Xenopus tropicalis: one gene and its partners. The protein of the gene in region 1 purifies or fractionates together with the protein of each later gene. This does not show direct contact. Links are inferred from orthologs where the notes say so. Each region holds a gene or a part of one and is shown in the gene's direction. Other genes may lie near its edges.

What was found.
Region 2: the proteins of rab5a (region 1) and rabggta purify together in Homo sapiens (affinity purification with mass spectrometry; 3 studies listed by BioGRID and IntAct, counting the BioPlex papers as one, with this or other methods). This does not show direct contact. The link is inferred for Xenopus tropicalis from reciprocal best matches to the Homo sapiens genes RAB5A and RABGGTA.
Region 3: the proteins of rab5a (region 1) and gdi2 purify together in Homo sapiens (affinity purification with mass spectrometry; 3 studies listed by BioGRID and IntAct, counting the BioPlex papers as one, with this or other methods). This does not show direct contact. The link is inferred for Xenopus tropicalis from reciprocal best matches to the Homo sapiens genes RAB5A and GDI2.

Annotation. Positions count from the first base shown.
Region 1 is NC_030682.2:45,566,999-45,571,391, forward strand, and holds the start of rab5a (ras-related protein Rab-5A), read left to right. Parts: upstream 1-1,572; 5' UTR 1,573-1,680; intron 1,681-4,393. UniProt on the Homo sapiens protein: The small GTPases Rab are key regulators of intracellular membrane trafficking, from the formation of transport vesicles to their fusion with membranes.
Region 2 is NC_030677.2:139,152,722-139,156,374, forward strand, and holds part of rabggta (geranylgeranyl transferase type-2 subunit alpha), read left to right. Parts: intron 1-681; coding exon 682-869; intron 870-963; coding exon 964-1,161; intron 1,162-1,637; coding exon 1,638-1,721; intron 1,722-2,774; coding exon 2,775-2,857; intron 2,858-3,653. UniProt on the Homo sapiens protein: Catalyzes the transfer of a geranylgeranyl moiety from geranylgeranyl diphosphate to both cysteines of Rab proteins with the C-terminal sequence -XXCC, -XCXC and -CCXX, such as RAB1A, RAB3A, RAB5A and RAB7A.
Region 3 is NC_030679.2:84,465,943-84,469,595, forward strand, and holds part of gdi2 (rab GDP dissociation inhibitor beta), read left to right. Parts: intron 1-2,299; coding exon 2,300-2,407; intron 2,408-2,915; coding exon 2,916-3,015; intron 3,016-3,580; coding exon 3,581-3,653. UniProt on the Homo sapiens protein: GDP-dissociation inhibitor preventing the GDP to GTP exchange of most Rab proteins. By keeping these small GTPases in their inactive GDP-bound form regulates intracellular membrane trafficking.

The DNA of each region.
Region 1 (4,393 bases):
TCTCCCATAGGGCTCAATGGAACTCTGCAGCTCCAACCCGGCCTAAGGATAGTCTCCCATAGGGCTCAATGGCACTCTGCAGCTCCAACCTGGCCCAAGGAAAGTCTCCCATAGGGCTCAATGGCACTCTGCAGCTCCAACCTGGCCCAAGGAAAGTCTCCCATAGGGCTCAATGGCACTCTGCAGCTCCAACCCGGCCCAAGGAAAGTCTCCCATAGGGCTCAATGGCACTCTGCAGCTCCAACCTGGCCCAAGGAAAGTCTCCCATAGGGCTCAATGGCACTCTGCAGCTCCAACCTGGCCCAAGGAAAGTCTCCCATAGGGCTCAATGGCACTCTGCAGCTCCAACCTGGCCCAAGGAAAGTCTCCCATAGGGCTCAATGGCACTCTGCAGCTCCAACCCAGCCCAAGGAAAGTCTCCCATAGGGCTCAATGGCACTCTGCAGCTCCAATCTGGCCCAAGGAAAGTCTCCCATAGGGCTCAATGGCACTCTGCAGCTCCAACCCGGCCCAAGGAAAGTCTCCCATAGGGCTCAATGGCACTCTGTAGCTCCAACCCGGCCCAAGGAAAGTCTCCCATAGGGCTCAATGGCACTCTGCAGCTCCAACCTGGCCCAAGGAAAGTCTCCCATAGGGCTCAATGGCACTCTGCAGCTCCAACCTGGCCCAAGGAAAGTCTCCCATAGGGCTCAATGGCACTCTGCAGCTCCAACCCGGCCCAAGGAAAGTCTCCCATAGGGCTCAATGGCACTCTGCAGCTCCAACCTGGCGCAAGGAAAGTCTCCCATAGGGCTCAATGGCACTCTGCAGCTCCAACCCGGCCAAAAGATAGTCACCATACCAAAGCTTGAATGAATTCCGAAATGTTCGTAGGCATTGCGAAAAATACGACGTTTTTGTGCAAATTTACACAGAATGTGAAAAAGTCGTATCATTTTAACATTATCGTGGTCATTAAGAAAAGTCCTAAACTTTAGAAAAAGTTCACATTTTTCGCAAATACTCATATTTTCTCCCTAAATTGCAAAAAAAAAACCCTAAAGGAAAATGATTCCAAAATCTGAAGATTCCTTTTGGTCAATTTTTTCCCCAAATCAGCCATTGATTTATGCCAAAATTGCTATCTAGCGCTTATATACAAAAGAAAATACCATGGGACTCTCAAAAATACAAAATACCAAAAAGGTTACATAGTTTCAACGTGCCCTAGCTTGCACAAAAACTGTCCTTTCTGGTCAGATTGTGAGAAATGCCCCCAGGTACCCGGCGTTGAGACGCACGTAGAGGAATCATGGCCGGGAACCTCCTAGAAAGATAAGTGTATTCTGTTCATGCCTAGTACAAGCAGAAGCTGTGAGCAGCTCATTACAAATAATCGCAGAGACCCACATTCTGCCGTACCCACCACAGCCTGGCAGCAGCTTATGAATGGTGGTACAGTACCCCATCCACACTTGCCAGTCCCCCAAAGCCGCCTACGTGATGCGTCATTGCGCTTATATACGTGTAGTGTGACGCAACACTCTCGCGAGATGAGAATTGTGACGTCGGGATTAGCTGTCCGGCAGGAACCAAGAAGCTGGACGTTAACGGCGTTGCGGGACGTTTAAGCAGCGATCCGGGAGCCCGGGCTGTGTGAGGAAATCGGCTCTGTCCCGCGAAGAGCGGGCCTGTTTGGCGGTATGCAGTAGTAGCTGAGATTTAGATTGGGCAGCAAAGAATCATCATTCTAATCACATGGGGTGGACTTGTACTTGCCCTGTATAGAAACATTCTACATTCAGCAGTAGGGTCTTAACAACTAGTGCTCCTCCAGCTACTCTTAATTGGGTTCGGCAGCAGCAGATCATGGCTGTATAACCATCAGCGCAGCTGGTCAAGAAATAAGTCAGCTGAACTACGGCTTCCTACGTGTATTTCTAGCCTTTGGGAATTGTGGCAGTTGTTCAACTACAGGCCCAAGCTCCTTGCTGTTGTACATTAGGTGCTGGGATTTAGCTTGGGTGTGTAGGAAAGGCCTTCCAACTCATCGCAGGGGGAAGGACTAAGAAGTGGAAGGTTTGTCCTGGAGATAAACATCCCACTTTCACTTTGGAGTCATTGAGATGGCTTCTGTCAGAAAGTTGTCTTTCCTTTACATTATTTAGAGACTACCTGTTGGGTGATAAAATGGTTTACAGACTCTTATTTTTGTTTTTCTTTCTACTGTTTTGATAGTAGACATATTTAGACATTTATCAGCTGTATATTGTACTATTTAGTGTTTGTTTTCTGTTCATGCCATGTATACTTATGTATCTGCACTCTATGGAGGGATCTTTGAGGGGGGTTTAGGCACCACTAGACAGACTATGGTTTTGTCTTTGAGCCACACAACATTGAAAAAGGATCCTGGGTGTGATTGGCTGCTTGGTAGCCCCATGTGCACTGCCAGCTTGCCCAAGCCTCTCTTTTCTGTCTTTCTACCAAGGTTTTAAAATTAGCACCTACTTAACAGGATGTGATTAGCAATGTGTTGCTTGTGAACAACTTGTTGGGGATGATTCTTGTGTGCATTGTTCACTTTTGCATTTACAAACTATGGCTTCTGAACCTAAATTTATTAAAGAGCCCCAAACAATTTAGAAACCCCTAATCACTGTAGCAGTTGAATTCTTTGAAACCCTAGAACAGGCTGGGAGCCTTAAAATCACTCGGAGGGCCACATGTGGCCCATGGGCCTCCAGTTGGACAGGATAATCCTACACATAGGTTTTGCTGTAACGTTCATACTTATGGTATAGCTGGCGCCAGTACACTTCTTAGGTATATTTACTTTTAGTTTCTGCAGTAGTCTGCCAAGAATTTTGTTATTGTCATGCATTACCTGCTCTTCAACTTAAAGGGAATCCTAAGAAAACTAAGTATGCGTATATTTATTTGGCAGTCAACATATTGTTCCTATTAATGCTTTGTTAGATATTCCCCGCGACAGACTGCATTTGTCGGCTACTCCTTTGTTAGCTGACCAAAATTTTGGGATCTCCAGACGGCTGTCGGTATTTCAACTTATTACACCTGGGAAAATTACAGTGTCACCTCAGGCGCCATTTTTTTGTTGCCTTTAGAGAAACATCTCAACTGTAATGCTGGTCACATACACTTACCAATAATATCATACAAAACAAGGTTTCATGTGATTTTTGGTAGTTGTGTGTCAGCCAATCAGGTACTTTGGATATTGGTTGATTTAGGAATCGGTCAGGTTTGAAATGTCAAATCTCCCAGTTCAGGGTGCATTGGCAGTTGAGAAAGTGGATTGAACAATAGAAAGCTAGTCATGCCAAGTGTCATCCCTCCTGTGCTATGTAGCCATTCAACCTGTGGGTCGCACTGCACTTGTGGGCCCATGTATGGACACTCTTCATCGATATTATTGATAATCATAATAATTTATGATTATTTAAATGGAGCCTCTTGTGTTCAAGTCTGATTACACAATCGAAATATATTGTTTATGTAACACTGAAATAAAAGCAATTAAATCCTACAAGTCCTTGCATATTCTGCTGTACATCAGCCCTATGCAGATAATACAGTAGCCCACAGTCCTGCCCGCTCCTTTTCCTATGTGAGAGCCAGCAAGCCTGGTCACTTTCTCTTCCAAGTGACATTACAAGCAGTCTCCTATGAGCACATATACACCAGGATCTTGTTGGACACTGCATGTGCGGAAGGGTGCTTGCTTGAAACTGTTGTCATTCTGCTTAGAAATATTGAAGGCATTCACCCTGAAGTGCGTCTCGGCAGTTTCTTTGCTTTTCTTGTCATGCATGACCTCTATGGCAGGACAGTAGGTGTAGAAGTTTTTTCCCTCTGCAGGCAACAGTGCTTTGAGCTGCTTACATTTTTGCACATGGATTTATTTCATGGCTTACTGATTGGGCAGGGCTGACCTAGCAGCACCCTAAAAGGTAAGCTAGTAGAGATTGGGGGTGCATTTACTTTATTTGCTTAGAAAAGCTGTCCTAGCTGCATCAGTTAAGGGTTTCCTTGCCTTTTAAACATGAGAATCATGACCTGGGGTTTTCCATGTGATCCAGTTTCCTCCAGCAATCTAGAAACACAGTGGTAGATTAACTAGTTTTAGTTTTACTAGCTTCTAGTGAAACTGACTTAGTGTGTGCTTAATAGCAAAATAAGATTTTTAGCTTTTCTGTGATGGGACTGATGTAAATTATAAGAGTTACACACTATTTAAATAAAGAATGATAACTTCAAATTAATTATATAAAGGATGTCTTTACATTTTTTACAATCCTGAAAATTGATGCCCACCTTACAGGACTCTTTGTGGCAAGCAACTTTAGGAAGTGTATCCACCTCGCTGAAGCTTTTCAGAAATGTTAGCCTT
Region 2 (3,653 bases), on another chromosome or scaffold:
TTGAAGTAGAATAACTAAACTTAAGTGCAGGGAATGCACTTAATGCAGGGAATTCCAGCTGAGAAAGTAAAAAGCCAGATATATACCACTAATGGATTTTCATGGCAAATCTCCATAGACATTACTGTGCAGCAGCATAATTTTCTATGGTGCTCACAAATACATGGGCCAGTGATCCCATGAGCAGTACAGCATTTATCTATAATCAAGTCTGTAGCTTAATGTAAATAATACTTTCAGATGTCAAAATTATCATTACATTAATTTTTTAAAGGAGAAGATACACCCTGGTTTTAAGAAGGAAGGCCTTTGCCTTTATTTTGCCTTCATTGTTCACTAAAGAATATGTGTGACTAAAGCTGGATTTACAGTGACCAATAAGGTCAGAAAGTTACTCTGATCTGTTTTAACTTGTGAGCTAGTGCTCAGTGTGTGGACTCTAGTAAGCATTTCCACTGTTTCAAGGAATATAATCTCTTCATTGGTCACGTGGTTACATTGACAGCCATATAGCATTTCTTAAGTAGGTCTGTACCTATTATATTGTACGTGTTTATGTTTTACTAATACACAATATTATTTTCACAGTGTCTCTGGGATGTGTTGAATATATTGGCTGCAGGTAATTGGGATAGTAACACAAAACTATTACAAAACAATTTGTTTTCTTTTCTACTTGAGGTCAGAAGAAGAGATGCAATCTCTTTGTTTGGGAGAGCTCACCTTCCTTGAGAACTGCCTTCGTGTAAGCCCAAAGTCATATGGGACCTGGTATCACCGATGCTGGATTATGAAGATCATTCCTAAACCAGATTGGGCACGGGAATTGACACTCTGTAACCGATTTCTTGAAATTGATGAGCGAAACTGTGAGTGGGATGAGCTTGGTTGGGACTATGGAATGTTACTGTGGATTAACGTGCTCTTGGTCTCTTATCCAACGTCTGTTTTTATATTATACAGTTCATTGTTGGGATTACCGGAGGATTGTTACACAGTCCTCATCTGTTCCACTCCCTGAAGAGCTTGAATTTACTACTTCTCTAATTGGCAAAAACTTCTCAAACTATTCTTCCTGGCATTACCGTAGCAAACTATTGCCACAGATCCATCCAGACCCACTTAGAATTGGTAGAGTTACAGAAGAGGCCCTGCTAAATGGTGAGAGAAGGGAGAAACTTTTGAAAGTCACAGTATTAAAGGGGTTAGTGGCAAATTTTTGACACTTCTTTTATTCTGCCCCAAGGACCTGATAAGAAGGGGATAGTAATTCTCTGTGCTAATCAGTAGCCTGCGTCACTAAATAGCACTTTAAGAAGTGTGACTGCTGCACATCCCTATCAAGAAAAATGAGCAACAACCCAACTTTATTATTTTATTTTTTTTTTTTTGGGTAAAAATTGCCTACAGAACATTGGGGGTAATAGCATAGCCGAAATTCAGAATCATGTGATAATAAATTAGAAATTTATTTTTAAATTGTATTCTTGTACACTATGGATATTGTTGAGGATTGAGAGTGTCAGAGGGAGAGAGCAGTAGGAAATATTTGTTGGAAAATAAACTGTTACAAATTAGATTTTCAGTAAGCATTGTTATTCACTACTAATATTTCACATGTCATAATTTAATTACAGAGCTAGAACTTGTACAGAATGCATTCTTTACTGACCCAAATGACCAGAGTGCTTGGTTTTATCATCGCTGGCTTCTTGGACGAGGTAAGAAAATTAAGCAGTGAAATAAAGGGCAACAAGTTTATGGGTAGAGCAACTGATACCCTGTGGTTAGTGTACAATTTTTGCTTAGCACACTGTAGCTTGAAATAGCATAATATTCTTAAAGACTCCTCTATATGCTTTGTTTTATATTCTGTTTGCATCTGTCTAGAAGAAATTTTAGGAGTGGAATATACAATATGTTCCCTCTACTGACTCATTTTATAGAAATCACATACATTCTTGTACATCCCATAACCCTCCTATTGTGTTTTAAATAATTTGACTAAAACAGCAGGGAGCATGTTGTAGTTTATGTGCCCAAGTGTTTATGAAGGTGGCAGAAGTGCATCAAACACATTGAGAGTATTAAAACAATTCTCTCATATTAACATTAGCAGAAACAACCCTCTGCACTGTTTTCAGAGAGTGTGTATGTCAGCACATGTTATTCTCCTTTAGTCACATTCAGAATATATATGTGCGTAAATAAGGGGATAATCTGGTAACTCTGCATATCAACCAAAATATAAGCAACACTTCAGTACAATAAAACATTTTCCTATGCAGAATTAGCCACACCCATGCATTTTATGGATCTTTATCTCATCCCTTACAGGGACAGCAAAATACAATATATGTATGTGTATTATATGCATCTGAAAATAAAATATTTATTGGGAACAACAGTCCTTTTTTTTTATGTAACAATGTTTTCAGCTTCTGTTATCTGCCATGTAGACTAGGCCTTACAAGAACTTGTAGGGTCCTCTATTGTTAAAATGATCTTATTTATGTAATTGCTTTATTGTGCTCATTTGTGGTTGCTTCATTGCAACAGGTTGAAGGGGCACATTGGAGCTTGTTATAGGAGTGGTACCAAGCCACGCTCAATTATGCATACATTTTATTGTTTTGCTCTTTCCTTTGTGTTTGTAAATAATCATTTATATTCAAAGGTAAATGGAACCTTTTTATAATTTGTTGTTATCATTCCTTTAAGGCGCAAAACGTGCAAATCTGGTTTGATGAATTTCCCATTTGCTTTCTATGCAGCGGATCACCCAGTTTCCATTCGATGTGTTATGGTCAGTCTGGATGAACCGTGTGTGTCAGTAACATTCTCTCACCCAGTCGAAGTGAGTTTGCGTAGTGTAATTGACATTATAAATCTTCAATGTTTTCTGAACTGGATAAAAAAGAGGCTTGTTTCTAGATCCTATGGTCATTTTAAAGGAATAGTAACATCAAAATTTGAAAGTTTTAAATTAATTAAAATATAATGTACTGTTGCACTACACTGGTAAAACTGGTGTGTTTGCTACAGAAATGCTACTATAGTTTATATAAAAAAGTTGCTGTGTAGCCATGGGTGCAGCCATTCAAGCTGGAAAAAAGGAGAAAAGGCACAGGTTACATAGCAGATAAACCCCCATTATATGTTACAGAGTTTATCTGTTATCTGCTAAGTCACCTGAGCCTTTTCACCTTTAGGGCCAAGACACACGGAGCGATTAGTCGCCACAACTTTTAATTAACTTTTTCCGCTCATATAGAACAATTGCGTTGCCGCGGCAAATCGAGCGCGCAATAATCGCCCCTTGTGTCTTCACCCTTAGATAGCTGCCCCCGTAGATACACAGGAGCTATAGTTTGTATAAACTATAGAAGTCTTTCTGAGGCAAACACACCAGTTGTTCCAGTGCTGGGCAACAGTAAATTATAATGTTATTTCTTTTATACATTTTAATTTTTTGGTGTTACTGTTCCTTTAAATTAAGAATGCACCGAACCCAGTTTTGGATGGATTCGGCCGAACCACCGAATCCATTGTAAGGGATTCCGCTGAATACCAAACTGAATCCTAATTAGCATATGCTGATTAGGATTTGGAAGGATTAAATGGCGAAAAATTTCTTTTAACCCTTCCAAATC
Region 3 (3,653 bases), on another chromosome or scaffold:
AACTAACGGTGGCCAATTCTAGCTGCCGATATCGGTCCTTTAGACAGATTCTGCAGCTTATCTGCCCATATATGGGCACGGGCCTGCCCGACCTACATCTGGCCTGAAATTGGCCAGATCTCGATCAGGCAGGTTTGATTTTTCCATTGGATTGGGGACCGCATTGGCTCGTTGATGCGGTCCCCGAACCAACAGTGCCTATACCAGTCAGTCTAATTCGAATTAGCCCGATACCGCCCACCCATAGGTGGGGATATCTGAAGAAGATCCTCTTGCTTAGCGACCTTGCCATGTAACACCTTTGTGTTTGGCCTGCTTTCTATAGCTGGTTATCCATGGCAGGTTAGAGTCATTAGGTATGCACATATAGACATGGGACTGCTGTCAGGGTAGTGGTTACTAAACTGCTTGTTCTCCACCAAGTAGTACCTTTGGTATTGATTAGCTATATGCTCTCAGTTTATTAATAATATGTAGAGATAGCAGATAAAACCTTTCCATTGCTTAAGGGCTCTGGCACACGGGGAGATTAGTCGCCCGCGACAAAACTCCCTGTTCGCGGGCGACTAATCTCCCCGGATTGCCATCCCACCTGCGAAAATGTAAATCGCCGGTGGGATGGCATACGCGGTGGCACTACAAGAAGATACCGCACTGTACAGTCTTGTTTTTATATCTTCTCTTGATATGTAGACTGGATATATTCTACTGACTTCAGTCAAATTTCATTGAGTTATAAATTGTATGCTATAGCTGGATCTTGCAAATGGCTAAAAAAAACACAGATTCACGATTGTTTCATGTGGTAATCGGATGGATCTATTACTACGCAGCCAGATTCTTTGCAGCAACCGTGTTCAAAATGTTGGAGTTTAATCACATCAGCTGAATAAATCCATCTTATATAATACAGTGTCATGTTTCTCATACTTTTGCATCTAGTGAACTCTAGCTTTATTAGATTGCAGACTTTGGCCTTATTCACACTACAGACTTTGATACATATTCACTTGGTCATGTTACTTTCTATGGATATAAAAAATGCCAGCAAAATCTTTTTTTGAGAATTCGGCAGCATAATGTGCTGTTGGTTCAAGTATAATACTACTCTGATAGATCATATTTGTCTGCTTTTATAGTGTCACCGCCACCTCTAGTGACAGGCAGATTCCATTAAACTAAATGACAACCCAAACTTGTTCCATCAGGCACTTTTTCATTTACCTTAATCATTAGCCTGAGTCAGCTATTTACAGGAGAGGTGGGAAGTGTGTGTTTACAATTTTTTTGGGGGGGTCTAGAAGCCATATAACTTGTTAGTGCTGGGCGGTATGACCAAAAATTTATATCACGGTATTTTTCAAAATTATATATCGGTATCACGGTATTTGACGGTATTTTTTTTTCCCCATGCATGATTAGGTGACCACCCCAAACACCCGCCACCCGCACCCCCCCCCCATCCGCACGCAACCCCCCCACCCCCCCATCCGCACGCACCCCCCCCACCCCAAACACCTCCCCATCCGCACGCAACCCCCCCACCCCCCCATCCGCACGCACCCCCCCCACCCCAAACACCCCCCATCCGCACGCACCCCCCCACCCCAAACACCCCCCCATCCCCTTCACATAAATATAACCCCCCACCCCACCCCCCCCCAAACACAACCCCATCCCCTTCACATAAGTATAACCCACCCACCCCCACCCCCCCCCCAAACACAACCCCATCCCCTTCACATAAGTATAACCCACCCACCCCCACCCCAAACACCCCCCCATCCCCTTCACATAAATATAACCCCCCACCCCACCCCCCCCAAACACAACCCCATCCCCTTCACATAAAATATAATTACTGGCCAGGCACCCCCCGACAGCTCACATTGGTATCCGACTCTGAATGCGTCCTAGCGATGGCGCTTTTGTAGAGTGTGCGCGCTGACGTCACGTGCGCGCTGACGTCACGCGCGCACCCGGAAGTATTCAGCACACCGGTATGTAGAAAATTCATATCGGTTTCAAAAAAAAAACCGGTGATCGGTTTTTACCGGTATACCGCCCAGCACTATAACTTGTCTTTCACGAAAGACATGGCATATGTTTTTCCTAAGTAAAAGTCAAGGAGGAGAATATGTTGAAAAAAATGTGTGCCACTTTGGTGTTCATACTTGAAGAAAATAGACTAGCTTTGTATGGGTTAATTCACAAGCTCTTCGAATTCAACCATTATTTGTGTACAGTACAGTTGTGTATATGTTGTTTAAATAGTTATAGATTTTTGTTTTCCTTTTAGGAATGCATTCTCTCAGGAATAATGTCAGTGAATGGCAAAAAGGTCTTACACATGGATCGTAACTCTTACTATGGAGGAGAGAGCGCTTCAATAACACCTTTGGAAGATGTAAGTAGCCGCCAGCACAAGACAGTTAGGGGCTGATTCATCAAGTATGAGTTTGAATCCCGAAATAGGTAAAATTCGGATTAGAGACGATAATTTATGATTGCAAATATCATGAAAATGCTTCTGAAAAAATCATATTAGTCATGATAATATCGTATCGGTGATCGAAAGTCACAAGATTTTCATATCCGAACTGTTATAATTGGCGGGAAAACCTTTCTGACTTTGGCCATCCTGGCCAAAGGAAAGTCAGTATACTGAAGCTTGAATCAATCCGAAACTTTCGTACTTGGCGCAACAAATACGATTTTGTCGCACAAATTGTCATGCTTTTTGTAGCAAAGTATAAAAAAGTCACAAAAAATACGCACAGTACGAAAACTTAAAAAAAAATACATGTCAGATAGTATGTCTTTCATTTGCCAAATCTAGTGGTTGATTTGATTTCTCTGTTGAGGAATGTTTCTTTGGACTGCAAGTTGACAAAAAATTACATATCTACTTTTAGCTATACAAAAGATTTAATATACCTGGAAGTCCTCCGGAGTGTATGGGGCGAGGAAGAGACTGGAATGTGGACCTCATTCCCAAATTCCTAATGGCCAATGGTATGTCTTAAATCTGTACTCTGTGCAGATGTGTGTGTATATACATGCTATATTAATGTGTAGTGCTGTATATAAGTTGCTTAACTGGGTGGACAATCACAGCAGAACTAAATAGAAATTACAAGAATGTACAATGTTATAAATATGCTTGAAAATCATAATCCCTATCTGTAAGGGGTGAAAGTCAAATGATGCATTCACCAAATTTCATGTCTCCTAAATAGAAACTCTCCCCCACCCCTGGTCTAGGCAGCAGGACCAAAAATCATAACTCTTAAATTCAGTTTCATCAGTAGTAACTATTTTGGTTTTATATTTTAACCTGAAATATGGTTCCCCCCTCATCACATATACCACAACCCATTATAATACAATAGCATTTGACTTACCCTGTGAAAGTGGACAAGCCCTCACAATCTTCCACCCCTGTCTTATGAAAGGGGATCGCTCGCTACAGGTATGCTTAATTACTAATTTGCATTGACATGCTTAATTACCGATTTCAGATAATTCATTGTTCTGATTATTTCTTAACACCAATTTTTTTTTAATTCATCTTTTTCAGGCCAGTTAGTGAAGATGTTGCTTTTCACAGAAGTCACCCGTTATCTGGACTTTAAAGTTATTGAGGGAAGCTT